Linked DNA regions of Caenorhabditis elegans. The protein of the gene in region 1 binds, or shares a complex with, the protein of each later gene. Each region holds a gene or a part of one and is shown on either strand. Other genes may lie near its edges. The genes, in order: pat-6, unc-112, pat-2 and pat-4.

The links.
Region 2: pat-6 (region 1) and unc-112 share a complex: the UniProt entries of both Caenorhabditis elegans proteins name them as parts of the integrin containing attachment complex.
Region 3: pat-6 (region 1) and pat-2 share a complex: the UniProt entries of both Caenorhabditis elegans proteins name them as parts of the integrin containing attachment complex.
Region 4: pat-6 (region 1) and pat-4 share a complex: the UniProt entries of both Caenorhabditis elegans proteins name them as parts of the integrin containing attachment complex.

What each region holds. Positions count from the first base shown.
Region 1 is NC_003282.8:261,366-266,158, reverse strand, and holds pat-6 (Paralyzed arrest at two-fold protein 6), read left to right. Parts: upstream 1-1,926; 5' UTR 1,927-1,934; coding exon 1,935-2,102; intron 2,103-2,147; coding exon 2,148-2,223; intron 2,224-2,268; coding exon 2,269-2,456; intron 2,457-2,516; coding exon 2,517-2,651; intron 2,652-3,198; coding exon 3,199-3,489; intron 3,490-3,544; coding exon 3,545-3,763; intron 3,764-4,099; coding exon 4,100-4,150; 3' UTR 4,151-4,273; downstream 4,274-4,793. Other genes in the region: pqbp-1.1 (WW domain-containing protein), read left to right, coding at 4,479-4,696, 4,749-4,793. UniProt on the Caenorhabditis elegans protein: Involved in the regulation of cell adhesion and cytoskeleton organization. Component of an integrin containing attachment complex, which is required for muscle development and maintenance.
Region 2 is NC_003283.11:14,691,330-14,698,243, reverse strand, and holds unc-112 (Protein unc-112), read left to right. Parts: upstream 1-1,589; 5' UTR 1,590-1,614; coding exon 1,615-1,697; intron 1,698-2,115; coding exon 2,116-2,180; intron 2,181-3,174; coding exon 3,175-3,442; intron 3,443-3,681; coding exon 3,682-4,859; intron 4,860-4,929; coding exon 4,930-5,333; intron 5,334-5,927; coding exon 5,928-6,092; 3' UTR 6,093-6,382; downstream 6,383-6,914. Other genes in the region: gasr-8 (uncharacterized protein), read right to left, coding at 6,383-6,583. UniProt on the Caenorhabditis elegans protein: Component of an integrin containing attachment complex, which is required for muscle development and maintenance. Probable regulator of cell-extracellular matrix adhesion. Required during initial muscle assembly to form dense bodies and M-lines.
Region 3 is NC_003281.10:8,816,961-8,824,902, reverse strand, and holds the start of pat-2 (Integrin alpha pat-2), read right to left. Parts: upstream 6,005-7,942; 5' UTR 6,002-6,004; coding exon 5,829-6,001; intron 5,782-5,828; coding exon 5,544-5,781; intron 5,498-5,543; coding exon 5,374-5,497; intron 5,057-5,373; coding exon 4,645-5,056; intron 4,582-4,644; coding exon 4,352-4,581; intron 4,103-4,351; coding exon 3,627-4,102; intron 3,571-3,626; coding exon 3,434-3,570; intron 3,342-3,433; exon of another isoform or gene 3,250-3,341; intron 3,210-3,249; coding exon 3,015-3,209; intron 2,541-3,014; coding exon 1,829-2,540; intron 1,372-1,828; coding exon 535-1,371; intron 72-534; coding exon 1-71. UniProt on the Caenorhabditis elegans protein: Required for muscle development probably through the regulation of the actin-myosin cytoskeleton. Component of an integrin containing attachment complex, which is required for muscle maintenance.
Region 4 is NC_003281.10:88,948-96,611, forward strand, and holds pat-4 (Integrin-linked protein kinase homolog pat-4), read right to left. Parts: upstream 5,863-7,664; 5' UTR 5,857-5,862; coding exon 5,761-5,856; intron 5,199-5,760; coding exon 4,893-5,198; intron 4,284-4,892; coding exon 4,187-4,283; intron 3,691-4,186; coding exon 3,545-3,690; intron 2,916-3,544; coding exon 2,660-2,915; intron 2,246-2,659; coding exon 2,152-2,245; intron 1,736-2,151; coding exon 1,477-1,735; intron 843-1,476; coding exon 696-842; 3' UTR 506-695; downstream 1-505. Other genes in the region: mrpl-40 (Large ribosomal subunit protein mL40), read left to right, coding at 122-205. UniProt on the Caenorhabditis elegans protein: Probable pseudokinase that acts as an adapter protein. Component of an integrin containing attachment complex, which is required for muscle development and maintenance.

The DNA.
Region 1 (4,793 bases):
CAATGGGCACGATTGAAAACATGGCAAAGTTTTATTGAAAAATGAAAAACAGGCAAATATTTGGCTGAAATCGCTCAGTTTTCAGAAAATATCCACACTTTGACTGAAAATGGTGTAGGAATTGATGTAATAACAAGAGACAACAATCGATGTGGTTCCGTTTTTACAAATCGAATTGTTGATAACAAAGAAAATAAGGGAGCGTTTTGAAAATGAAGGAACTGGTTTTTCGATTGTACGAGATACAATAGTTCTTGACACAGACACCTACAATTTGTTGATAACGAAGGATAGACGCATCGGGTTGATGATTAAACAAATTTGAAGGAAGTACACGAAATTTCAAAAATTTAAAGGTGGAGTAGCGTCAATGGGGATTTTGTCTAAATACGCTTATTATGATTTCAAACGACCGAATATCATAATAAAACTACAAAAATTTTTAGATTTTCCCTAATTTCGGTCAAAGTTTTGGCACATTACCAAAATTTTGACAAATATGAGCTTTTGAGGACATCCAAAGCAATGTCGCATATTCCGGTCTTTACAATGATTCAACAAAAATAATTGAAACAAAATTACAGTATAAAAAATGTAGGAAAAATAATTTTTTTTGGTCGACTTCCAAAATTATGAGTGGCAAAAACTGAATATTGAACACTTTTTGACAGTGAATAAAAATTTTTCAAAAAAGTTTTGAAAAGTTTTATTATGATTATTTGTCACTTTGGCACCATAGGAGTATTTTTTAACACTTACTCCATTGGCCCTACTCCACCTTTAATAATTTTCAGATTTCCTAATTTTCTAGATTGCATGCTAATTTTTACAATTACTAGTTCAATGTTTCTTAATCTGATTTCGGTTTAATGCAACTATTATCATACGCCAGGAAATCGAATGTACCGTACGTATAATCAATGTAACTGATGTGATTTTTCATAATTTTTTCCTAAAATTGTTTTTCAAAATTTTTTCAAAAATTGCTATGGAAAAAACTATTTTCAAAAGACCGACCTGTGGACCGACTGTACCGTATTTCCTCTATTAGTCTTGCACTCCTACAGACTAATTGAAAATCAGTCTTACAGCCTGTAATAGTCTAGCACCCCACTTTTTGTCATATTAGCAGAACTTTGTGGAAACGTAAGCAAATTTATCATTTTTGGAGTAAATCAAATGTAAAATCGTTCAAATAATTGATGTAATATTGGGAAAGTATGTATTTTTCATTGTTTGAACGGTCAAAATTGTATCACTTTCCAAAGTTCGAAAAATAGTTTTCAGTCTCTATTAGTCTTGCACCCCTAAAGACCAATTGAAAATTAGTCTCGCATGCAAGACTAATAGCGAAAATACGGTAAATGCAGAGTTGTTGTCTTTCTTAATTTATTTTTATTTTTATTTATTTGAATATTAGTTGTTATATGGACGTCCTTTTCTTTCTCAATACATATGCATATACAAATATTAACTTTCCGTTCTTCTTTCCTATTCCCATACATTTATATGTATCCCAAAGCCTTCTCTCTCCCCCACACACACCATTTATCTGCACCATCCTCTTTTCACCCAATCTCTCATTTGTCGTAAACTCTCCTTCCAACTCTACGTCTCTTATTGTTCCCAACACTCTCTCACTTTTTCAACACTGACGACGGCTGTTTTACACTATCTGCTGGCCTGGATGGGGACTTTTGTGTTGCTCTACGGAAAGAATCCTCCCACACAATATTTTTACTGCTATTTGAACATTGAATTATCGATTTTTCAAATTTAAATTTAAGTGCTTAAAGAGGAAATGTTCCAAAACAGAGTTTCATAATGAGACTTCAAAATTTTTTTAACTTATCAATATCTAATTGTACTTTATTTTTTATTATGAATCAACAAATATTTACCCCTTAATAATTTTAAACTTTTCAGCAATAACCATGTCAACACTTGGTCGTAGTAAGACCCCATCTCGTGACGAACCAAAAAAGCCTGGAGTCTTTGAGAAACTCTCTGGTACCCTTTCTCGAAAGAAGAAGGCGCCGGAAGATGAGCATGGAAACCAAGGGGGTGCACATCATGCTACTGATGAAGATGAAGTTTTGGAGGTTAGTTTTGCAAATTAATGGTTTTAGCAAATATAGATTTTTCAGCTTGAACTTGAAGGTCGTGAGGCTCTCGATCAGTCATTGGTCCCAGTTCTTGCAAGAAACATCTGGTTGGAAGAAGGTAAACGGTTTCACCAATATATTTATCCAATATATTTTTTTCCAGGAGAAATTCGTCGTTATCTGACTAAGGAAACAGCCCGCGATCAGAAGTTGGCACAAGTTGTCGATTTGCTGATCTACTGGCTTAATGAAGAGCTAGCTGATCAAAGAATTGTCGTTCGTCACTTGCAAGAAGATCTTTTCGATGGTCAAATCATCCAGAAGCTGTTGGAAAAGTTGGAGCAGATTCGAGTAAGTTATTGGTACAATTTCACAAATTGAATAAATTCTCCACTCACAGTTTTGTTACAGATCGAGGTTCCAGAAGTTTCGCAGTCAGAAGAAGGACAACGTCAAAAACTGCAAATTGTAGTTCAAACAGCCAATCGAATTCTCGGACAGCCAAGAGAACAAGAGAAATGGTCTGCGGATCTTATTCATCAAAAGGTACGCAAATCTTTGTCTGAATTGTTCATTTCTATCAGTCTTACATTTCATTGTGCAGATGTTTGACGCACTGTAGACAAAAGAGTTTCTCACTCGAAGCTGTTCCAAAAACTACCGTATATTCTATATTAGTATGATATGTTAATCTGTGGACACCTCCGCCACACAATACTATTCATCATTTACTATATATAAAGCGCTTATTCTGTGTGTCCATAGTTTGTAGTCTATGTAGTCTTTGTAGTCTGTGAAGTTTTGGCTTCTTGGGATAGTGAGTTGGGGTTAGTGTAGGGATATAGTCGAAGTACTGTATTGGCACAATAGTGGTACGGTAGGAATACTGTAGTTTCAGAAAAAATCAGTTTTCACCCCCAGGTCCACGGCTGGTAATCTATATAGAAATTCGTGAACTGCAATACTAATTTTCGAGGTGGTTTTTGGATGCAAAACTTATTGAGAATATACGATAGTTGAACGCAACAGTACTTTTCGAATAAACAGAGTTACTTTCCATATTTTATATTTTCTCATAAAAGAATATTCCCAGGACTTCACTGCCATCATCCAGCTCCTGGTGCTTCTTGCTCTTCACTACCGTGCTCCAGTTCGATTCCCAGATAACGTGGTTGCTAACGTTGTGGTGGCTCAAAAGGAACATGGTCAAGTGAAGACCCATCGAATTACTGAGCAAATCACTACAGTTCAAACTGAGTTGGCACCGAAGGGCACTCGTGACGCATTTGATACGCTTTTCGATTATGGACCCGATAAGTTGGCTCATGTGAAGACATCTTTGTTGGCTTTTTGTAATAAGCATTTGAATAAAATTAATCTGGAAGTAAGTTTATTCACTTCATTGTGCTACAAAGAAGCTGATATTTGTAAATTTTTAGGTGTCTGATTTGGATAATCAATTCCAGGACGGAGTTTTCTTAGTTCTCCTAGTGGGACTTCTTGAAGGTTATTTCGTCCCGCTTTACCATTTTAATCTCCAAGTTCAAAGCCACGAGGAGAAAGTAAAAAATGTGCAATTTGCGTTCAAACTTATGGAAGACACTGGCCTTGAGAAGCCTAGATCTCGTGTTCAGGATATTGCCAATGGAGATGTTAAGGTTTGTAGTTTTGACAATTTACAGAAAAATATACCATTTTCCTAATTTAATTCAATTTACAATCCTCAATTTTAAATAGTGCAAAATTTTAAGGGATTGAAATCAAAGTGTAATCGCGCTTCAGCCGGAAATGAAAATGTCCCGCCTCCTTTAATTGGGTCTCGTTAGGTATCGCCATTTGGTTGAAGCGCGATTACATTCGCAGTTGTCGAATTTTCTTTTCACGACGATTCAGCAATCCCGAAGAATTTTAAACAAGTGGCAAAAACAAATTTTCTGCTCATATCTGATGCGATGGATTTTCTATATACAATCCTAATTCATTCTTTATTGCAGAGCACTCTCCGTCTTCTCCATTTGCTTTTCACTAAGTACAAACATATCTAATCTGAGAACTTCATTCGTCATCCTAATCAAACGACACCGTCCAATAATTTGTGTCTGGCTCAACAACTATGGTGCTTTAATTTTGTTAAAATTGCATTTATGTCAATAAATCTTTTAATTTTTAGACTTAGCACTATATTAAATTAAAGAAATTGGCAAATTCCGAAAAAAAAACTCTATTTGAACTCCCTCGTAAAGGAGATTTGCAATGGGGCGCGTTTGCATTAATAAAATTTAATGCATTTTCTCATCGATTCTTTTATTCTTGTTTCTTTATTTTAATTAATATGAATTGATTGTATATAAAATTGTATTTATTTTACAGAAAATGCCTCTTCCACCAGCTCTTCTCGCTCGACTTCAAAAAAGGGGAATTGTAAAGCAAGAAGAAGAGGTTATCGCTGAAAACTATGAAAAAGAGCCAGAAAAGAAAAGTTTCGAAGAGAATTCGGCAGGAGCACCTGGTTGTCCAAATAAATGGAATCAATATCACGTTTGCCTCGAATTTTGCTATGATCATTGGGGCGATGGAACTCCGGAATATCGGTTTGTTTTGAATTTTAGCGAAAAATTAATTAAAAATCGTTTTTTTTTGCAGGTTGCCCGAGAGATATGTGCAGAACAAAAACAGAATGCTTGCAAA
Region 2 (6,914 bases), on another chromosome or scaffold:
CTGCGTACTTCGCAATCTACCGTAGTCATCAATTAATTTTTTTGTCAGTCGCGCGCGACAACATGTCGTGCCGTGCCGAGAAATACTGCATAGGATATAAAAACAAAGAAACGTTAAGTGATAGCTGAAAATATCAGTTTGATTTAAATGGCTACAAGGTTATTCCTTGACACAAAAAATATCCCGTAGGGAAAACTACAGTAATTCTTTAACATCTTTAAATTTCGATTTAAATTTCGGAAACATTGATTTATCGATTGAATATTGAAATTAAGCCGAAAATTAAAAACTAATACGAGGAAACGAAGAAAAATGAATATCGATGTCACTATTCGAAAAGAAAATCATTTCAAAAATCCGTAAATCGACTAAAGCGCTACAGTAGTCATTTTAAGTATTAATATAGTTCTCGCTACGAGATATTTTGCGCACTATGCATTCTCAGAGTTTTGTGTTCCCGTATACACAGTGCTCAAATTCTTCGTCCAAAAAATTTCTGAGCTTATTTCAAGTTTGATCCAACTCTTGTTAATGTCTTATATAACTTTAAAACGATTCAAAAAACGATTAGGTCAAAAAGTTTGATTTTTAACGCCGCCAAAAAAATTTGCATACGCTTTATAAGCAACTTTTGTACCAAGTTTATATTTCTTTTGAGCCAGACTTGGACAAGAAGTTAGCATTTTGTGTCAGCGCATATTGAAATTTCACTACCATTTCTAATATACTGTAAAGGATAGTTACTTTTGTGGAAAATCTGAACTTTTATCAATTGCACCATAAAAGACGAGGTTACCAAGTGTTCACAGTATGAACTTCACACGTGGTGTTAGAGTGTCCCATTGATCTACGTAGTTCACATTGTTCACAAATGTTCACATTATCCAGATATTCTAATTCAGAAACTAGTATACACCTTTCTCCATTTCATTGCACTTCTCCATTCATACCCAACTACCCGTGATATCCTATACTTTTACTCTCTCTCTCTCATGTCCAATGTCCCTTCAGAAGCTGCTTCCTGGCATCTTCCTCCTCCTTCTTCTGCCAAATCTTTCTGCCAGCCGGGGGACGGGACTCTTTGTGTAATGTTGTCTTCTTCTTTTCCTTCATCTACAGCAGCATCGCCTACTGTCATTCCTTCCCATTCCCGCGTAGCCGCCTGCCGAGTGTCCTTCAACTCTCCGTCTCTTCTACAACTGTTCACTCTCTCTCGCTCTCTCATTGCATTTTGGAACATACAGATAGGGAGTCAGAGAGATAGAGAGTGAGAAAAGAAGCGGAGAGACGGTGTTGCTGTGAGTCAGAGACGAAGAGTGTGTACTGCTCCGGCCGTCCGTTTGTTCGTCCGCATCGGCAGTCTTTTCTCTCATTCTCTCATTCTTCAATGTTCTCTAGCCTCTTTTTTCGTTTATTTTATTCTGTATACACGTTCCTCTCTACCTGATATTCTCCCACACATAGCTTTTTTATTGATTTGTTGATTGTTGTTAAGCGGTTTTTTTTGTTTTCTATTCTATCTACCGTGGACGGAGAAAATACACTGTTTCTATAATTTGCTAATCTTTCCAACAACTAAAATATCTCAGTGGTTCTACCTAAATCACTTCAAACATGGCACATCTTGTTGAAGGAACCTCGATTATTGATGGAAAATGGCAATTGCCAATTTTGGTCACCGATTTGAATATTCAAAGGTGAGGATTTAAAATTATATATTTAGAAAATATTAACTTTCAATAGTACTGCATGTTTAGCAGTTGTTCTTAAATAACTGCAATTGCAGGAAGTTATAGAAAAAGATTCAATGCACATTTTCTGAATTCAAGTCATTTTGTCAGAATAAGTGATAATTGAGTTATTCTCGGATTGAGGTTAAGCCTAAACCAATCCTAGGCCCAAGCCTAAGTCTAAGTCTACGACTAACTATAAGAATAAGCCTAAGTCTACGCCGAAGCCTAGCCTAAGTTTAAGCTTAAGCTTAAGTTTAAGCCTTACCCTAAACCCTAGCCTAAATTTTCAGAAGATTCCGGTTAAATTTTTTTCCAAACATGAATGAGACATTTTCAAACTCAGAGTCTTCCAATTTCCAATAAATGTATTTATTTCTTCCAGAAGCATCTCTGTCCTTGGAAATCTTAATGTGGGAGGACTCATGCTCGAACTTGTTAGCGAATGCGGTGAGTTTTTTTTTCGAATCTTATCACCTCGGTCAAGATCTCAAAGATCTCAATAGACCATGATTTCTCTCTTTTCTACTCAATATAATCTGTTAGATATATCTGCCACTGTGTGCGCCTACGCGTTTGTTACAACGAAAAGATACGTGGTGTGTGCACCATTACGAAATGATGTTCAATATCAGTAAAAATTGAAGGCATGGGAAAATGTTGAAATCTGCTGGAAAAAAATGTTCTGGAAAGATAGGGAACACTTTTGGAAACACATCGTAACGGAGCCCTTGAAGAGTGCGCCAAGTGAAAAATTTCTCGTACAATTCTTTCAAGTTTGCTGAAAATTCGTATTTTGAATAAAACAGTTTAATTAAAAAGTTAATTTTTGAGAGATCTTCACGAAATTTTTTAGGGACTGTGAGCTCCGAAATAGTTGACAAGAAGTCCTCTATACATTTTGAAACATCATAGAAACTATGCGGAACCTATCAAATATTTATGGGCTCTTCTCATCTCCTACCAGTTGCTCTTCTCTTTCTTCTTTTTCTTTTCATCCTAACCCCTGTTAATGTTGACTATTCGAGTGCACGCGTGCGCATCTACATAAGCTGATTGTTTCGGATGGGACATTCGCTGTTGGGTACATAAAGTTTAGAGGCTTTCCTTGCAGAGATATAAGAGCACACAATGATAGGGGGTCCCAGGAGAGAGTATCAAAACTTGAGAAGCAACTGGCATTCATCATGACCAAGAGCAGAAAGGGCGCATAGGAGAGGCGCATAAAAACGTTTTGGAATTAAGTTTTCGCGCGATTTTTAGAACTTGCAGAAGCTGAAGGGATGAAGATTTTCTGCATTAGGGTATAACAATTTGTGTGCTCAATGTGTTTAATTTCCAAGTTCAAAATGTAATCATTTGGGCTTCAGCTGAACAAACAATTTACAAAACAGCTGTATTGAAACAAGAATCTAAAAAACTCCAAATATTTCTATTTTTCCAGATGTTGAACGAGATTGGTCTGATCATGCTCTGTGGTGGCCGGAGAAGCGGCGATGGCTTCAACATACTCGATCGACTCTTGACCAGAATGGAATTACAGCTGAAACACAATTGGAGTTCACACCAATGCATAAAGAAGCAAGAATTCAGTTACCAGATATGCAAATGATTGATGCGAGAGTTGATTTCTCGGTAAATTCATTCAAAGCAACAAAGAAATTGTGCCGTGATTTGGGTATTCGATATTCAGAGGAATTGTCTTTGAAGAGGTAAGTAGGAATTGGGAAGTTTTTGATGTTTTATTTTTAATTTAAATAAGAATGGAGTTGTGAAATTCCTTAGTTGGTTGAACGAGGATTGAAGATCCTTGGGAATCTTAAGCAACTAGGGAAAATCTATGCCTGATCGAAATCCTGCCCCAAAAGTTTGAGCAAGGTCAAAAGTTAACTACTACCGAGCATGTGAAATAACCCAATAATTCAAAATCATATAATTTAAAATATTACAGATATATTCCACCAGAGGATCTTCGACGTGGAACATCTGACGCCGACAACATGAACGGTCCACTCTCAATGCGTCCAGGAGAAGAATCAGTTGGACCAATGACTCTCCGTAAAGCTGCTCCAATCTTTGCTTCTCAATCGAATCTTGATATGCGCCGTCGTGGTCAATCACCCGCGCTCTCCCAATCTGGACACATTTTCAATGCTCACGAAATGGGAACTCTTCCTCGCCACGGAACATTGCCACGTGGTGTCAGTCCATCGCCAGGAGCATATAACGATACGATGAGAAGAACACCAATTATGCCAAGCATCAGTTTTAGTGAAGGACTTGAAAATGAGCAATTTGATGATGCTCTTATTCATTCACCAAGACTTGCTCCAAGCCGTGATACTCCAGTATTTAGACCTCAGAACTATGTGGAAAAAGCTGCGATTAATAGAGGATGGCTTGATTCTAGCAGATCACTTATGGAACAAGGAATTTTTGAAGGAGATATTATTTTACTACGATTCAAATTTATGAATTTCTTTGATTTGAATCCAAAATATGATCCAGTGAGAATTAATCAACTTTACGAGCAAGCAAAATGGAGCATTTTACTTGATGAATTCGATCACACAGAGGAAGAAGCCACACTATTTGCTGCTCTTCAACTTCAAGCAACCCTGCAAAGAGATTCTCCTGAACCTGAAGAAAATAATAAAGATGATGTGGATATTCTTTTGGACGAGCTTGAGCAAAACCTTGACGCAGCTGCTCTTAACAGACGATCAGATCTTACACAAGTTCCCGAGTTAGCAGATTATTTGAAATATATGAAACCAAAGAAATTGGCAGCATTCAAAGGATTTAAACGGGCATTCTTCTCGTTCCGTGACTTATATTTATCATATCATCAAAGCTCCTCAGATGTCAACTCAGCTCCACTTGGACACTTCTCATTGAAGGGATGTGAAGTTAGTCAGGATGTTTCAGTTGGACAGCAGAAGTATCATATCAAATTGTTACTTCCAACTGCTGAAGGAATGATTGACTTCATTTTGAAATGCGATTCCGAGCATCAATATGCCAGGTGGATGGCTGCGTGTCGGTTAGCATCCAGAGGGAAGTCAATGGCTGATTCGTCATATCAACAGGAGGTGGAGAGCATCAAAAACTTGCTCAAGATGCAAAGTGGTAAGTTGTTGATTTTACAATTTAATAAGTGATAATGAAATTATTTTCTTCGAATGAAACAATTTTTCAGGTAATGGAAACGAAAACGGAAACAGCAACACAGCTTCGCGAAAAGCCGCCGCTGTAAAACTACCAAATGATTTCAATGTTGATGAGTACATATCGTCGAAATACGTACGACGAGCACGCAGCAAGCAACAAATTCAACAGCGAGTATCAGATGCTCATGGAAATGTTCGACAACTCACGGCAACCGAAGCGAAACTTCAATATATCCGAGCATGGCAAGCACTTCCCGAACACGGAATTCATTATTTCATTGTAAGATTCCGAAATGCTAGAAAGGCGGAATTGGTGGCTGTTGCTGTGAATAGACTTGCAAAATTGAATATGGATAATGGAGAAAGTCTGAAGACATGGAGGTTTGCAAATATGAAGAAGTGGCATGTCAACTGGGAAATTCGACATCTCAAGGTTAGTTTTTGATGAATAAAATATTTAAGATCTGGACATGATCGGAAATCGAAAAATTGCAAAATGTTGAGAACGTTTTCGAGACCTATTCATCTAAGTTTCTTGTAACAACTTTCTGATTGTTAATCTATTTTGTGATGTCTTGAAATTACGTTTTCATCTCAAAATCTTTCCTAATATGTATATCTAAACACAAAGAACAATTGGCTTTCAAAAAATCTTTGTATTGTTTCAAAAATTATAATATTGCGTTTTTGATTCAATTGTTGTTTTCTATCCATAAGTCTATTCGCCGTAACTTACTAAAAAATTCAGGTCTTTGGTAATTTAAAATCTAAATCAGATAATGTTCTCAAAGACCGAAACTTTTTCGGTAAACTTGGTGCTGACAGGAAGGTAGGCAGACTTCATGCCTATTTGCCTACATGCCAGCGTTGCACCTTGAGCGTTTTAGAAATAAATTTTTAAAATCTGTTTTGTGCCTACATAAAAGGCTTAGATAAACCCGAAAATAACCGAGAACAAACTTTTTGAAATTAATTACTTTTTTTCTTTGAGTATACTATTTTATCATCCTATCTCCCCAATTTCCAGATTCAATTCGAAGATGAGGATATCGAATTCAAGCCACTTTCCGCTGATTGCAAAGTCGTTCACGAGTTCATCGGTGGATACATTTTCCTGTCAATGCGAAGCAAAGAACATTCTCAAAATCTTGATGAAGAACTTTTCCACAAACTTACAGGAGGATGGGCTTAGATATTTAAATTTCTATAATCTTTTGCAAACCAAAGAATTTTAATTTTAGGCTCCAATTCCATCTTTTTCGTTTCAAAATTTCAATATATATATTTGTTTTCTTTCATTTTTCTTGTTTCTCATTTCCCCCCTTCCCCTCTTCCAAATAATTTTTCGTTTTAATAAGACAAGTATACCGGATCGAAAAAAAGTTTTATGTGCCTTTTCATATCTATGGATTAATAATAATTGTATGAGAAAAATTGAAAAATATTATAAAAATTGAATAATAAAAACTGATGAATAAACATTTAAAATCTTCTTCCGCGTTCCTCGAGCTTTTCGAATTTTTGTTGATTGCTGATTTCTAGTCTTCCAACGTTTCGTTCAACTTCAATCAGCAACTGATCTCGCTCTTTTTCCAGTTTTTCAAATTCTCCCATCACAATATCATTGAGTTCCTTGTATTTTTCAACTTCTTTCCTCATATTCTCAACGTTTCGCATATCTCGCTGGAATAATAATCAGGAAATTATAGTCATTTTCCATCTTTTCTGGTAGTAGGCAAACGTAGGTACAAGGCAGGCAGGCACTGTTCTGCTATCTAGCTACCTACCTAACTACCTAGGAATCCTTAATCTGTTCTATTCAACCATATAAAATCAATAGTACAAAACATATCGGCAATATAAATTTGATAGAAAAAAAGCAAATAAGTTTGTATCCCGTTATTTAAAAATTTGTTTTCAAACGGATTGAAATCATGTGAAAACATGTTCAAGAAGTATCAAGAAATTTGAAACAAAATTTTCAAGCAACAGCAAAAAATATCTGAATGTAGTC
Region 3 (7,942 bases), on another chromosome or scaffold:
GCATTTGGTTGACGGTCGGCACGGAGTTCTGCATGCTCAGTTGGTGGACGATTACGTTTGAAGAAACCACACTGAAAATTAGATTATTATTATTTATTTTCTGAGGGAAACTGTAAATTTGTTTCGAAATTGGTTGTATACTGTAGTCGCTCTGATCTACCTATATTCTACAGTACCCCCGACGTAAGCTCGCCGTGGACGTTGCTGTGAAATTTTCGAAAGCGTGTGAGCACAGCTTTAATGTCGTAGGCAACTTCTTTTAAATTCAGTTTTTCTTAATCTTTGTGACAATCATTTTTTACCTTTCGAAAATGGCAGAGTTTGAACCATAAACTTTTCTCGCGGCGAGGCCCATCCGAATAAATCAATGAGGCTTTGAGAAACCGCTTCACAAAATTGGAAATTAAGATATAATTTTTGCTGCGTCACAAGTAAGCATGAAAGTTGGCGAAAGAACTTTAATTTAACTTGCAAGCCAATATCTATGTTGTTATGTAATAAATCGTATTTTTGAAAATTAAATTTGAAACTCACCCTCCAGAGCAGTAAAATAAGAAGAATCAAAATGGCAAGTCCAATAAGAATAGCCAAAAGATAAAGCCACCAAGGAAGATCTCTTCCTTCTTCAGAAGCAATTGCATTCATATTTGTAGATACTGCTGTTATCAATGTTGGCTTATGTGGAAGATTGTATTTAGTAGATGTGACACGAGCAAGAGCCAACGATGAAATGTCTCCTCCAGGATTTTTCTCATCAACCAATGTGTTTGTGTATAATCTAGAGAAGATTTCCACAAGTACAAACTCGTCTTCTTTAAGATCATAAATATCACATTCAATATGTGTACATCTCAATGAATTACAATCAACAGATGCTCTTGATAGTGGTCCCTTATAATCAACAACTCCTCCAGCTTCCTTCGAAAGTTTAACAGCTTCACGAAGATCAGAGAATCTAGCCTTATCACTTCTTGGTTCACCACGGTGTTCTCCTCCCTTCTTCTTCTTCTTTGGTGTTGGATTTCTTTTAACTCTCTTACTTCCAGCTCTATCAAAATCTTCATCATCTTCCTCTTCAAAATCATCTCCATCATATTCCTGATCGTCTGGAATATATTCATAATCTCCCTTCTTCTTTTTATCCTCAACATATTGCCAATTTCCAGTATTCTGACGAATCTTCTCCTCGTCTTTTTCGTATACATGTACTGGACCAGATTGATGATGAGTTTGATGTTGTGTAGATTGATGACGTGTTGATTGGGATTGAGTTGTTGTTTCATCTTCATATGATTCATCATCTTCTTCTCTTGAATATTCATTTGGTGTCTTGGCAACTGGTGGTTCAGTTGGAACATGCTCATTTGTTATCTGAAATTTTAATTCGTTTTTAATGTGCGACAGTAATTTTTTGTGAACATTTATAAAATAAGATGTTCAGGATTCTGAATTGAAAAAAGTGAAGTTTGTCAGCCCGAACCGGAAAATCAATTTTTTTTGTGATATTTCAGCATATTCGATTGTTTCCAATATTTTTTTTTAACTCGCCGATTCTAAACATTTCAGAAACTGACGAAAACAATTCTTCAAAATTTCCCAAGAAATTTGAATTTTATCCTAAAAATGATAAAGTTTCTTACTTCTATTTCTAAAACAAAATAGTTCCTTCCGTATTTCACTGCAATTTTAAATGTACAGAGTTATAAAATTCAGTGTCTACAGAAATTGGGGATTTGCAACGACTATGAGATCGTGGCAAGACCCACTCAGAAAAACAGCGTGTACCTTTAAAGTAATGTCTAGAAATTTAAAAATTATTCAAACGTACCCTCAAATTCAATGGATTAACATTTTGCAGTTGTTTGACCCGACATCTTCCTTTATTTGGTGGATTAACAACTGGTTCTGTGATAATGTACAGAAGATGACCTCCTTCAGTGGAAAATGATGGCCAGAAGATATCCAAAGTAGCTGAGTCAACCTCAGATGGACCACGATTACTGATTTGATAAAGATGTGAAACAACTGGACCAATTTCATTGTCATCGAAAGCATCTACACGTGTTTTGTTCGTCATTGAGAAATCGACTTGTTCGGGATTTGATCTACCATTCAAACTCAATTGATTCTTAAAATCAACTGGAATAGTGAATGTGACTTTATTATCAGCAACAGTATGAGCTTCTTCATCATTACTACTGTTCACATGAGCATTAATACTGATTGGAGCAAGTGGAGGTTTATCAGAAGAAGCAGTCACTCTTACAACACTACTAACTACTTTGTTAGCTGGAAGTGGATTGCCGAGATCACATGCAAAAGTCCATTTTCCATCCGAATCTGGTTCATCGGAAGTTGGAGAACAAGCTGGAGCAGACTTGCTTCCATCTCCACCAACACTTTCAATTCCACCGTATTCGAATCCTTGTGGAACATCGAAATAAAGTTTTGTCTCATATGAATCTTCTCCTCCATTTTGAACTGTTACATTGATAAGCATTGTATTGTCTTGAGTTCCCAAAAGGAATTTCTCACGATCACTGAAAAAATATGTTTAAAAGAATTTAATTGCTGGCATTTGGTTTATAGGTTTAGGAATAATTATTTTAATGATATGATTTCACTGAAAATTTCGCCGATTCCGTGAAGAAAAGAAACATACAATCTTCGTGGAATTATTTTGACAGGAAAATCCTGAAGCAAACATTTTAAAAATGGCTGTGAACTTGTCTCATTATAAAAAATGTTTTGAAAATTGTCGAGTTAGGTTACATTGTATTTTGTGTTATATTCAATTTTTCTCGCTCATTTCCTTATATTTTTTTGAAAATTTTAAAATTAGAGTAATGATTAAAACATTTCGAGACAAACCCATTTTTTCAATAATTTTTCAAACTTACTGTAATGAGGATTTTCAATGTTTCCCTTTCTTTTATATTCAATGAAAAAATGGCATATTTAATGTATTTTTTCAACACTTTTTATCGATCATTTTGAAAATTAAAAAAACTTACGCAACAGCGGTAACCTTCAAATCAGGAACACAAAGATCATCTTTTCCACAATTATTTGCAATATTAATCTTATTTTGGAATGAAAGTGGTACAGTTGTGTCAATTGCTGGTTCAAGCTTATCACCACGAAGTTTTCCGGTTTTTGATTCAACATATGTGTAGTTGACGGACCAATGAATTGGGGAGAGCTTGTCTCTGAAATTATTTTATTTTTGATTTTTAGAAAACATTTTATTTTCTAATTTGAAGGTTTGCAAAGCATACGAACTATTTTACATTCAAAAATTAGCCTTGAACTTTTTTTCACAGCAGAGCAAACATTTTCTCAATTTTTTCTGATAAAAAAATTTAAAAAGTTGTGGTCATTTTGAGTTGAAAAACTTTGAAAGAAAATCAAAATATTTTCTCTGAAAACTCACTTCATTGTGGAAGAAGCAAAGAATCGATGTCTGAAACACTTTTGTCGTCCCTTCTCAAGACGAACACGTTGTTCGATTGAAGATGGATGGTCTCTTGTTTTAGATCCTTGTGCAACTTTAATGCTTCTGTCAGATTTCTGAAATATTATTATTGTGTTAAAAATTTTTATCTAGTTTTAAAAAAGTGACCTACCACATCTTTTTGCAAGAAATAAGCTCTTGGTTCAGGAGAATGATCATCAAGATTGAATCGAAGATCAAATTCCAAATCATTTGGTGTATCTCCTTTTCCTTCATATTTGAAACATGTATTAATATGTTTGCATGCCTGTTTTCCCAATTTTCCATCAACATCGCAATTCTTATCTTCTACACTGATCAATGCACTCTCTGGTTCAGTTTGTCCCGTGACAGTGACAACTGGTTTTGTGAGTAAAACAGCTGCATTTCCAGATTTCCATGCTCCAACTGCAATGTCTGGCATTCCATTTCCATCAACATCTTCGTTTCCAGTAAGGGAGAAGCCAAATGATTTGATATTTCCATGACCAATATTGGCTCCTTCGATCTTCTGAGTTGGTAGTTCGCGAACACCATCTTTGGATCCGTGGATCACATAAACAGCTCCTTGTTTGTTTTTTCCAGCATATGGTGCACCAACAATTACATCTGAAAAACACTATTTTGTAATTTAAAATTTCCAACAAAAAATGCAATAAATTTCCATAGCGGTTCAAATGAGATTGAAAGTTCAAAATGCCGCACAAATTTCCGATAATCTAGGATTTTTTATGTCTAAAGAAATTGTTAAATTAAGAAAAAGAAAAGTGAAAATACGAAAACTAAATTTGAATTTCCGCGTAAAATAATTTCTGTGAGAAATTCAAATTCGTTCATTTTTAGTAGCAAAATCCCTACCATTATAACCATCCAAATTCAAGTCTCCAGCTGCTGCGACTGCGTGTCCAAATCGTCCCCACTGATCATCTCCAACAACTGCAATCTGTTTTCCAAAGACTCCTGGAGCAGTTTGAAGCATCACAATGACCTTTCCGACATCGTATTGTGGTTTTCTTTCTTGTGTTTTTGCGTCTTTCACGCTACCGTAATCTGTGTAGAATGGGCAGCCCATGATAATGTCGTCGCGTCTGAAATTAATACAGAGAATATTTAGAGAATTGTAATTTTATGTGTTTGTGAATCTCACTTACCCATCTTTATTTACATCAGCAACTGCAACAGATCCTCCACAATATTGTCCATGTTGAGTTGACACCTCATCAGTCAAATTGATCATCATCTTCAGTTTCGACGTGTATAACACCAATTTTCCGTGCAAATCGTTTCCACGTGGAACTCCGGCAACAATATCATCAATACCATCTCCATCAAAATCTCCAGTTGCTGTAGAATATCCCATCATATCGTGATCGTATTCCTTGCTACCGTACTCGGTATTCGGGCGGTCTGTCTGATTTTTGATGTTCTGTGAGAACATTGCTCCTTGCCAATACCACACACCGGGGGCTCCAATAAAAACACGATTTTGATTCTTCTTTCCTGGAACTGCAGCCGAGAATCCGCACTGACCGTATCCAAGACGATGACGACCGTGGCGAGCAGCTGTAATTTTTCATCTAATTTTTTATAAAGTTACCAATTGTTCGAACTCTGAACTATTCCAAAAGGTTCAACAATTTTCAGATTTTTTTCAGGAGCCTCTAGAAGTTTCTAGAATTTTCCAAAAAAATCTCAAAATTTTAAGACGTTTTTAACAGTGTCTTGAGGGTTGCAGAAACTTTTCAAACTATTAAAATATTCCTGCAATTCCTCAAAATTTTCAGAAGTTTCTAGAACTTCCCAGAACTTTCTTTTCTCGAACTCCTTTTTCCAAAACTACAGTACCCCTGCAGTACCAATTAAGTATCCCCAAAACATACGTTCTTGTTTGCACGATGAAAACTCCTCCGCATTATCAAATCCATTTTCAGCATAGAAACAGGTTCCAACTGGCTCAATAACTTCGAATTTTGAGTAGAAATATGTGTATTTTGGAGCACACACCTGGAAATTTAATTTTTAATTTTCAAACTCCGCAGAATAAACCTACCACAATTTTATCATGCTTATCATTTGATCGAACAGTTGCACCAAAGAATTGATGTGATTTTTCTTCAATTGGAACAAGATGTGATCCATTGAGTTTCTTCAAGTTTCCCTTCATTTTATCCACGTGGACTTCTCGGCATGTTGCCCGGTTCACGGAGCAAGCATAAACTGCTCCAGGTCTTCGGATTCCAGCCAGGTTTGGGTTATTGCTTTCAGCTTCAGGGGCACCGACAACGAGGCTGAAATTTTTGAATGTAAAATCTGTTCAGTTAATTCAATAACTTACACAGGCATTCCCTTCTGCTCATGGTAAAAATCGAGTGAGTATCCAAAGTAGTTACCAGCCATGTGATGAACCACTACATTTTTTGTGTCGATGTTGAAGGTGGCAACTCCGGCTAAAAGGCCCAGTAAGCCTAGAAGCAAGCCGATCCTTCGCGGAAAACTACCCTCTCGCATCTACTGGAAATTTGGAATTCGGTTTTTTGAAAACAATCAGAAAGAAGTTTGCAACGAGTATACGGAAGATGAAACGATTTTAGAAGTTGATTGAATAGAAAAAAAATTTCAAAATCTCAAATTCAAAAGTTCCAAGAAATATTTTTGAAAGGGAAAATAAAGAACTTTGCTTGAATTTTAATTTTGGAACGTTTTTCATGTCTAAATGAATTAAATTCAAAGTAGCGACCAATTTCACTGAGATAATTTCAAATTCTCAGTTAACATGTGGATCAATGAAGCCTAATCGGTGTCTTTTCCAAAAACCGGAAGGAAGGAAAAATGGAATTGAACAGAGCACACGCGATTGCGAAACAAAGAACTGACCCTCCGAAGACGACAAGTCATTTATAATTGAGAAGGGAGCTCTACGAGCATTTGACACACTCACATTGAGTCATGAACATATCAAGAAATGAATTGAACGAACAGGAGAAGTGAGCGAACGGAAATTAACGGGGGAACAAAATGACCCGTGACACGTGGAGCAAGATTGATGAAGAAGCAAAGTAAGGAGCAATTCGAATTTTGCATAAATCTCAATATTTGTTGTGTATTGAGCGAGAGCCAACAACAATATTTTCTCAAATGCTCAATTGAACTATTTCAAAATGTTTTGACTGTTGAAAGTTGTTTGCTGGAACCTCTAGCTTTTGAGTTGTACTCATTCGAAAATCTTTAAAATTACCGGAGAACCCTCAAAATATTCAGAATATTGGCTGGACTACGAGTTAAAAATCAGAAATTCGAAGTTTGTGAAAAACGTACAAAAAGGAAATTCCGAAACAAAACTGGCATCTGGAGACTCATAGTTATCCCATGAATTTCCGAAAAATACGATGAGTCAAGAGTCGTTTGAAATAGAGAAGGGAGGAAGGGACACATAGTTTCTTCAGTTTCCGGATAGTTATCAAACATATGTCTAATGGTGAGAGAGTGTGAGAGACGAAGAGACGTAGACATTGATGGAAGCATGAATTGAGGATGAAATTGGGAGGATGGAAGGGGGCGGAGGAAGAGGCACCACTTATTTGGGGACACGAGAAGCAATTAGTTTGGAATCAAGTAGATATGCAGTTACTATTTTTGAAACACCAAAGAGATTTTCTAATATTTTGAAAAACTTGCAAAATTATTATAATAGTAGACGTTCAATCTGACCAGACCAAAATTTGATAATTGAATTCAATTTTTGAACCTACTTGGAATATCAGGGAAACTTCCTGCCAAAATTCGACAATAAGTTGCCACAGATTTTAAAGTTTTTAAAGTTTCAGTTTTCACAGTGAAATCTAGTTAATTCAAGTACATAAATATTGTGGTCAAAAACGTATTGCACCAATACTAATAGAACAAATACGGCACTTTCTCCAATATTTGTAGTATGTGTTTTAAAAATCACGCCTACTTGAAGCCCATCAGTATACGAACAACATTTTATATATTGGTGAAAAGTTCATGTAATAGAGAGTATTGGGATGTGGGCATGAAGTAATTGTCAGTAGAATCCAAGATATGGTTGACTGGTGACTGTTCCCTCTCCGACAAAAAGGTCATGTTTTGAATAGAGAGGAACAAGTGATAAATTGAGGGAACGGGGGGAGGATGAATTAATTGGGTGGTTAGGAGGAAAATGAATTTTTGGAAAAAAAAGATGTCGACAAGATTTAAGGGAAGTTAAATTAGGAGGTAGGTTTTGAAAAAAGAATCTTAAATTGATGGGTCATTTGTGAAAAGTAACGTTGACTAACTAAGCAACAAAAAAATCATAATCCCTTCTATAAAGATTAATAATCTTCATAATAGCTTTTCAACTAATACATGGTGAACATTACCGTTTCATTACAACCTAAAACAATTAAATATTTATTACCGATCATTCTTTTTGATTGTCAAGAATTG
Region 4 (7,664 bases), on another chromosome or scaffold:
TGACATTTTGCGAAAAATTCCGAAAATTGGTTAAAAAATTTTTTTAAAAAACCTGGAATTTTCCAAATTTTTTTTTCTAAAAATTAAAAAATTCCGAAAAATCCTTTAAAATTTCTTACAGGGACCCTCACTGACTCCGCCCATTCGAAACTACGAGGCTCCGGACGGCGACTACATTGATACTACGAGAAATTGGGCATCTTAGAGCCGAAAATTGTTGATTTTTATGTGTTTTATGGGTATTTTTGTTGTAGACAGTGACATAGGATGACGCATTAATAAAGGAATTATCGATTTTTATGGAAAAAACTAAAAATTTCAGTGAAACCGAGCTGGAAAAAATAAATTTGCCACTGCGGGGATCGAACCCAGGCCCTGTGATTGGCGGGCGAGGTCACTAGCCACTAGGCTACACGTGCAAATTTTTGGCAACTGATTATTTGGATACATGAAACTTACTGCAGCGAACTTTTTTGTCGAAGAGTGTTTGCGTACAGTAATCCTTACATTTCATAAGATTTTATTGATTTTTTCATAAATTGAGCAATTTTTTTTGACAGTTTAACATTTAAAATTAATATATAGACGGAAAATGCGATGGGGCTGGACAAGGAGCAGGCACTTTTGATGTAAAGCTTTGATAAATTGAATTTTAAAAAAATTGTTGAAAACATTAGAAAAGCAAAATCGATAAATCATAATATCATTCTCTCTAAAATCGGAATGATTTGATCAAAGTTTGGCCGACGTCCCGGGTCCTCGTTCATGCAAATGTTCATCAAACGGTTCATATTACGGGCGATTCCAGGGGGAATGTGCACTCGGAGACCTTCCAGAGCGATCTGAAATTAATAAATTTGGATTCAGCGTGAAATTTGGGTCTGGAAACGCTGATTTTGGAGGTGTAAGGGGTACTGTAACCCTAAAAGTACGCAAACACTGAATCTGACGACGACTTGCAGAAAAGCGGTGGAAAATGAGTTTTTTGAGTTTATTGAGGTAGAAAGTGACGGGAAATTCAAATTTTTTGATAAAAATTATATTTGATCAAAATTATACGAAGAAATTCGAATTTTTTGACAAAATTTCAGAAAAAAATTTTGATTTTATCTCAAAATGTCAACAAACTGTGGTTCAATTCGAATTTCTCGCAAAATTTTGAGCGTGGTCAGTCGTTACTAGACGTTTCTATTCCATTTTCAGGGCTTTCGGGGTACTGTAGTCTCGGAAGTACGCAAACACCGAATCTTACGACATTGAGCCCAAACGAGCTAAAAAATGTTGTCACGGCCTGTTTTGAGCTTCTGAGTTTGAATTTAAGAATGAACACTTTTGAAAAAAATAATAGAAAAACAATTTTTTTTGGGCCAAAAAAAAATTTTTTTCCAAAATTTCATCCGAAATTAACTGATAGATTAATTTTAGGATTTTAACATCATTTTTCACACTTTCAGCCCTCCAAAAACCCTCCCTTACCTTCATTCCGCATTCCATTGGCGGTAGATCAGAGAATGGGACCTCACGAGTGTTCAGCTCCCACAACAATATAGCAAATGACCACATATCGGCAGCTCTAATATTCAAGTCTTCTGGAGCCCGTGACAAGGCTTCTGGGCTCATCCAGGCAGGCGAATAGGCTTTTCCGACCTCTTGGAACGAGAATTTCGTATCTGCCATTGAGAGTTTGGCGGTGAGCTCCTCGTCGACTACAACGTGTTTGGAGGAGAGGTAGAACCTGGAAACTGGGCTTTAGGCTTATGATAGCTTAAATTATCTGAAACTCTAAAATTAGTTAAGAAACGTAAAAAAATGGGGGGAAAATTAAAAAATTAAAAAAAAAAAAAAAAAAAATTTTTTTTAAGTTTTTTTTCGAGTAGTGCCCCAAAAACTCTTGGATTCCTGAAAACAATTTTTGAAAATTTTTGTTGTAGCTACTTTTCGAAGAACATTATTTCAGGCACATTTTAAGCCAAAAACCGTTTGAAAGTATCAAAAACTAAAAAAGTTATGAACTTTTGAAATTTGGAAAAAAAAATCCAAATTTTTTTAAAAACATAAAATTCAAATTTTCCCGCCAGAAAAATGGGCGGAGCCTATAAAAATTTATACTTTTCTGGGAGCTCTTTTTAAGCTCCATTCAACCACACTAACCTCAAAAGCATAGGGTCCAAACTGTGCAAGTAGCTCATTCCTCTAGCAATGTCCAACGCGAATCTGACGGCTTGCCCGTGATCAATGACGACAGCTGCAATATTTTATTGATTTTATTAAATTATTTCAGCGATTTTTCACAAATTAATGTCAAAATCTAATAGATCTCGTTAAGAGCTTTCAGAAAAGTATAATCATGCCTAGGCTCCGGCCATTTTAGCATGAATTCGAGAATTTTTGGGTCTCGCCACGAAAACTGTTGGGTTACTGTAGATAAGTTATCTAATATGATATTGATAATTTTACTAAAAAGACAATTTTTTGAGTTATCTGTGCGCAGTATTTTAACAAAAAATCTCAAAAATTGGGAAAAGTACAAATTTTGAAAAAAAAAAATTTATCAAAAAAAAATTTTTTTCTACTTTTTCGAAATCAAAAAAAAAAATTTTCAAAACATTTTCTAGGACTAATTTTTGCGCCCTTTTCAATGAAAACCTTCAAAACTCACAACTTTGCTCGTGGAGCACGTTATACAGGCTTCCAAATGGCATGTACTGCGAGATGATCACCAAGTTCGGTGGCTGGTTAGCCGCGGCGAGCACCGCACAAATATTCGGATGAGCAAAAATACGAAGAGCCGGAAACTCGGTCTGGAAGTCACGTGAGATACGGGCGGTCACTTCTTGAACATTCAAAATTCGCGCCACAATATCGTTGCCCTGCCATTTTCCACGCCACAGTTCTCCGGAGTGTGATTCAGCGATCTGTAACAGAGTGGGGGTTAAGCTGGAAATTTTTGGGATTTTTAAAGTTTGAGGTAGCTTATCAAGTTCATCTTGATCTAGACTTTCAGAAAAGTATACATTTACTCAGGTCAAAAAAAATTTTTATTTCGAAAATGAAGTTTTTTTTTCAAACATTTCAAATCTTAATAACTTTGCCAATTTTTAAGATTTTTTGCAGATTTTTGACATAAAACACGTATAAAATATTGAAAAACAGTATTATTTATATTAAATAATAATATACACTACGGTAAGTGAATTCTGGAAGTTTACGTAGCGGGTTCCAATTTTCGACGAGTTTTTGAGTCCCACCGCGAAAATCCATAGTGTTAAGCTGTTTTGTGTCAATACAGTATTTTAATATTTTATTGACGTAGAACAAGTTTTTGTGCATATTTTGAGGTTAAAACCGGCTGAAAATCTCAAAAACAGTCAAAGTTATGATTTTTTCAATGTTTGAAAATTTTCCTTAAAAAATTTTTTTTTTCGAATTTTTTCAGAAACTTCGAAATTCGCGGAAAATTCCCATCCTTCAACGATTGAAACTAATTTTTTACGCTGAATTTGAATTTTTAAGTTATTTTCCACTGAAAAAATCTATAACCCACTTTAGTGATCAAATTCAGCGAGGAGACGTCGACTCCGGTGTAGCGGGACAGTGTGGCGTCCCGAGTACGGGACTTTGTACCCTTCCATGTGGTATCCTTGAATGGTACACGGTCATTTGGAGATTGTCCATGTTCTTGAGCAATTTCTAGAAAAAATCGATAATTTAAAAATTTATTAGAAAAAAGTCATCCCAAAAAAAAAACTTTTTGCGAGTCAAAAGTCTTTGCTGAAAAAAACATTAAATTTTTGTACACATTATTTTTAAGTATCAAAATTAAATTTTGCTCACCAAGAGCTTTCTGAAAAGTATAATCATGCCCAGGCTCCACACAAAATGAGCATTGCCCAGAAGACTTCAGAATTTTTGGGTCTCACCACGAAAACTTATAGGGTTACTGTAGTTTATGTTTTTCAATTTTTTAAGTTAATTTACCAAAAAGCTTGATCTTTTAGACTTATTTTAACGTTAAATTAAATCGAATCGCTTGAAAACTAAAAAGTTATGAGTTTTTGAAAAGTTGTAAAAATGTTGAAAAATGTTTTTTTTTTCAAAAAATGCATTTTTTCTTCTAAAAATCTTATCTATATGTTTTCCGACTAAAAAAATTCAATTTTCAGATTAAAATGCACAAAAAACTTACCCAAAATAGTGTTTTTGCACATTGGCTGGCAAACGTCCAGTGGGGTCATTCCCTTCTTGTTGCACACGTTGACAGCGGCGCCGCAGGAGATTAGGTCCTGAAGTTGTTATTTTGCAAGAAATCAAGGTAATTATTAACAAATTCAAATTCAGCTTGTTAAGAGCTTTCAAAAAAGTATAATCATGCCCGGGTTTTGAAAATTCTACAAATTTTCGATAAATTTTTGGGTCCCGCCACGAAAACTCCCAGGGGCTACTGTAAATAGGGACTTTTTGTGTTTTTGGTATAATAAATTGAAATTTTAAAATATTTAGGACGCAAGTATGAAAACATAAAAAAAAATAGCCAAAAAACTTCCAAAGTTATAAAGTGTTGAAAAAATGATTTTTTTTTCAGAAATTTTTTCCGGCAAAAAAAAGCTCAAAATTTTTGGTCAAAAGTGGGCGCATCCTTTATGAATTTATACATTTATTAAAGCTCAAATCTAGTTATATTTGATTATAAAAATAATTTCACCTAAACTATACATTTTCATTGCGAAATTAAAACTTTCCGAGAAGAACTTATTCGAAAATTTGGAAAAAAAATTTTCTGAATTTTTTGAAAAATCATTTTTTTCCAATTTTCCCAAAAAATTTTCCCAATCGAGTTTATACTTATTTTGAAGCTCTAAACAAGCTCTATTCGAATTTATCAATAAAATCACCTCAGCAATTTGTTCATATCCCCAAAAGCAAGCATAATGCAGTGGAGTCATTCCGTGCTCGTTGGTAGCGTTAACATCGGCTTTTCTCGACAAAAGCTTCACCACAATTTGTCGGTGTCCATGGGCGGCCGCCAAATGCAATGACGTGTCATCTCCCATATTCGTAGAGTTTACACGTGCTCCACGTGACAGGAGCATCTCTGCAATCGCCACGTGGCCGCCCTTCGCGGCCCAGTGGAGCAGTGAGAAGGCGTGATCGTCTCCGACGTTGAGATCGTGCTCGTGATCGTCCAACCAGACGCGGACCTGAAATTTTGATAGTAGTCTTAGTCTATAGTAAGGATTGTGATAAATCCTCTGCAAAAAAATTGGACAATTTCGGTGAAAGTTGATCAAGTTAGCATGAAAAGAAAAATCGGACAAAAATTACCGGAAATTCCAGATTTAAGCTTAAAATCTAGCTTTAAACTTGATTTTTCAAATTGGCAACAATTTTTTTCAAATTCAGCTTAATTTTAACTTTTAGAAAAGTATAAATTTGTATAAGCTCCGCCATTTTAAATAGGAATTTAAATTTAAAAAAAAAAAATTTTTAATGAATTTTTTTTTTAGAAAATCTCAGAATTTCGGATTTAAATTTAAATTTTTTTAATTGAGGAAAAACATTAACTTTCAAAAAAGTATAAATTCATATACGCTCCGCCCACTTTTCAGCGAAAAAATTTGAATTTTTCTAGAATTAAAAAAAATAATTTCCAAACATTTTCAATTTTTTTCCAAATTTTTTTTTTCAAAAACCTATACAAAATTATACTTTTTCAAAAGCTCTCATCGAGCCTAACCCCATAAAAATATTTACAAAACTCACCTGAAAAGCGTTACCCTCGCGGACCCATCCAAACACATCCTCCATTATAATGGGCACATTTGGCTTGTGCGCATGGTAATGAGTCGACAAAGACATTGTTGACTGGAAATATAAGGTTTTACGTGTGAAATAGTGTAAAATTTGAAAAAATCAAGAAAAATTGAGCAGGAACATGTAAAATTACAACAAAAAAAATCGGTGAAAATTGAAGAAAAAAACTATTAAAAAATCAATAAAAATCTCCAAAAATTTCCAAATTTTCTCAATTTTTCCAACTTTTTCCCGGGCCCCATGAAGCCCGGAATCTATAATTTCAAGCCAAAAAAGTTAGATATAAGAGACATAGACAAATAAACAATGCAATAAGTACAACAGAAAGCAGTAGAATTTTGCTGAGGCGACGGCATGGGGGGGGGGGGGTCAACATTGTTCCCCCGCTGGCCAGGCGAGATAGTAGAGGACTATGTAGGAGACGCAGAGAACAAGACGAAATTTGTTGTAAATGTATGTATTGTGGAGAGGGAGTAGTATCCCGCGCAGAGAACAAACGGCAAGCGATTGTGGGATATCTTTTCGTTGACCATTCCGTCGTCTAGAGGTTGGCTCAGAAAAAGCTCTGAAACTTCGCTTGAAATGAGCTTCTGGTCTTGAATGCTAAGAATTTGAAAAGATGAGAATTCGGGCTTTCAGAAAAGTACAAATTTGCCTGGATTTTGCCTGAAAATTTTTATCAAAAAACCGGCAAATTCGCTTCTAGGACATTTTCCAATTTTACCTTTCACAGCTAACTCCTGAAAAAGCTCTAAAATTTGGCTGAAAACGAGCTTCTGGTCTTGAAAATTCAAAATTTGAATAGGAAAATTTCCGAGCCATCAGAAAAATATTAATTTATGGTAACTTTCTCTTAAAAATTTTGAGGAAATCGTAATTTTTGCTCTGAAGCTCCGCAGCGAGTTTCAGAAGAATTACTGTAACTTGGCTGAAAATAGTTCGACAAAGTTATACCTAGTTTCATTAAATTAAGCAGTTTAAGGGTTTTCAGAATAGTATAAATTTGCTAAAAAAGCTTTAAAAAACCCCAATATTCCAAAGGACTTTTTTGATTAAAAAAGTAATTCAAAAAAAATTTTCACGTTATTTCAAAGCCCCCATCGCACATTTTTGTGCCCAAAAGATCTGTAAATTTTTCCTCTACAGCACTGAAAAGTTATGTATCAATTCCTGTAAAAACTCTTGAAATTCCTAGCGTTTTCGTGGCGGGACCCAAGTTTTTTTAGCAATTTTCTTCTCAAAGACTGGGTTTACAAAATACCTGAACCCGGAGCATAACGAAAAATTGTGAAGCTTAACAAAGTTACCACTTCACAATTGCAGCACTAAAATTCAATGACGTTTTTCAGACAAAAAACCATTTTCAGACGCTTTTCCCAAAACAGCCAAGAAAGGGCCTAACGTGGCCTAACATCCCAAAATTTTGCCACGTGGCAGAAAAATAACGGAATATCATATCACTAGAAAGTATATCATAAAATTGAGTTGGTTTTGAGGGGGCGAGAAGCTCATCGGAAGAAGGTATTCAAGAACATTTGAGAGAAAGAGAAGAGACGGGGGAGAGAGAGTGTGAAATGCAGTGAGAGACGCAGAGATTTGGTTCCCGTGGGAGTCGTGTGAGTTAGAGATAAAGAGATATGGAGAGAGATAGGAGACGCAGAGAAGCAGGGACGGATGTTGTAACACGATTCTCGGATGGAAACTGAGCATTGATGATGATGATGCCAAGGATTTTGGGGACCGGGAGGGTTGCGTAGAAAATTATTGATTTTCTGACAATTCCAGCGGGGGGAGTCGGAGTGTCCCATTTCGGTTTGATCTACGTAGATCTTCTACAAAAAATGCGAGAGAAG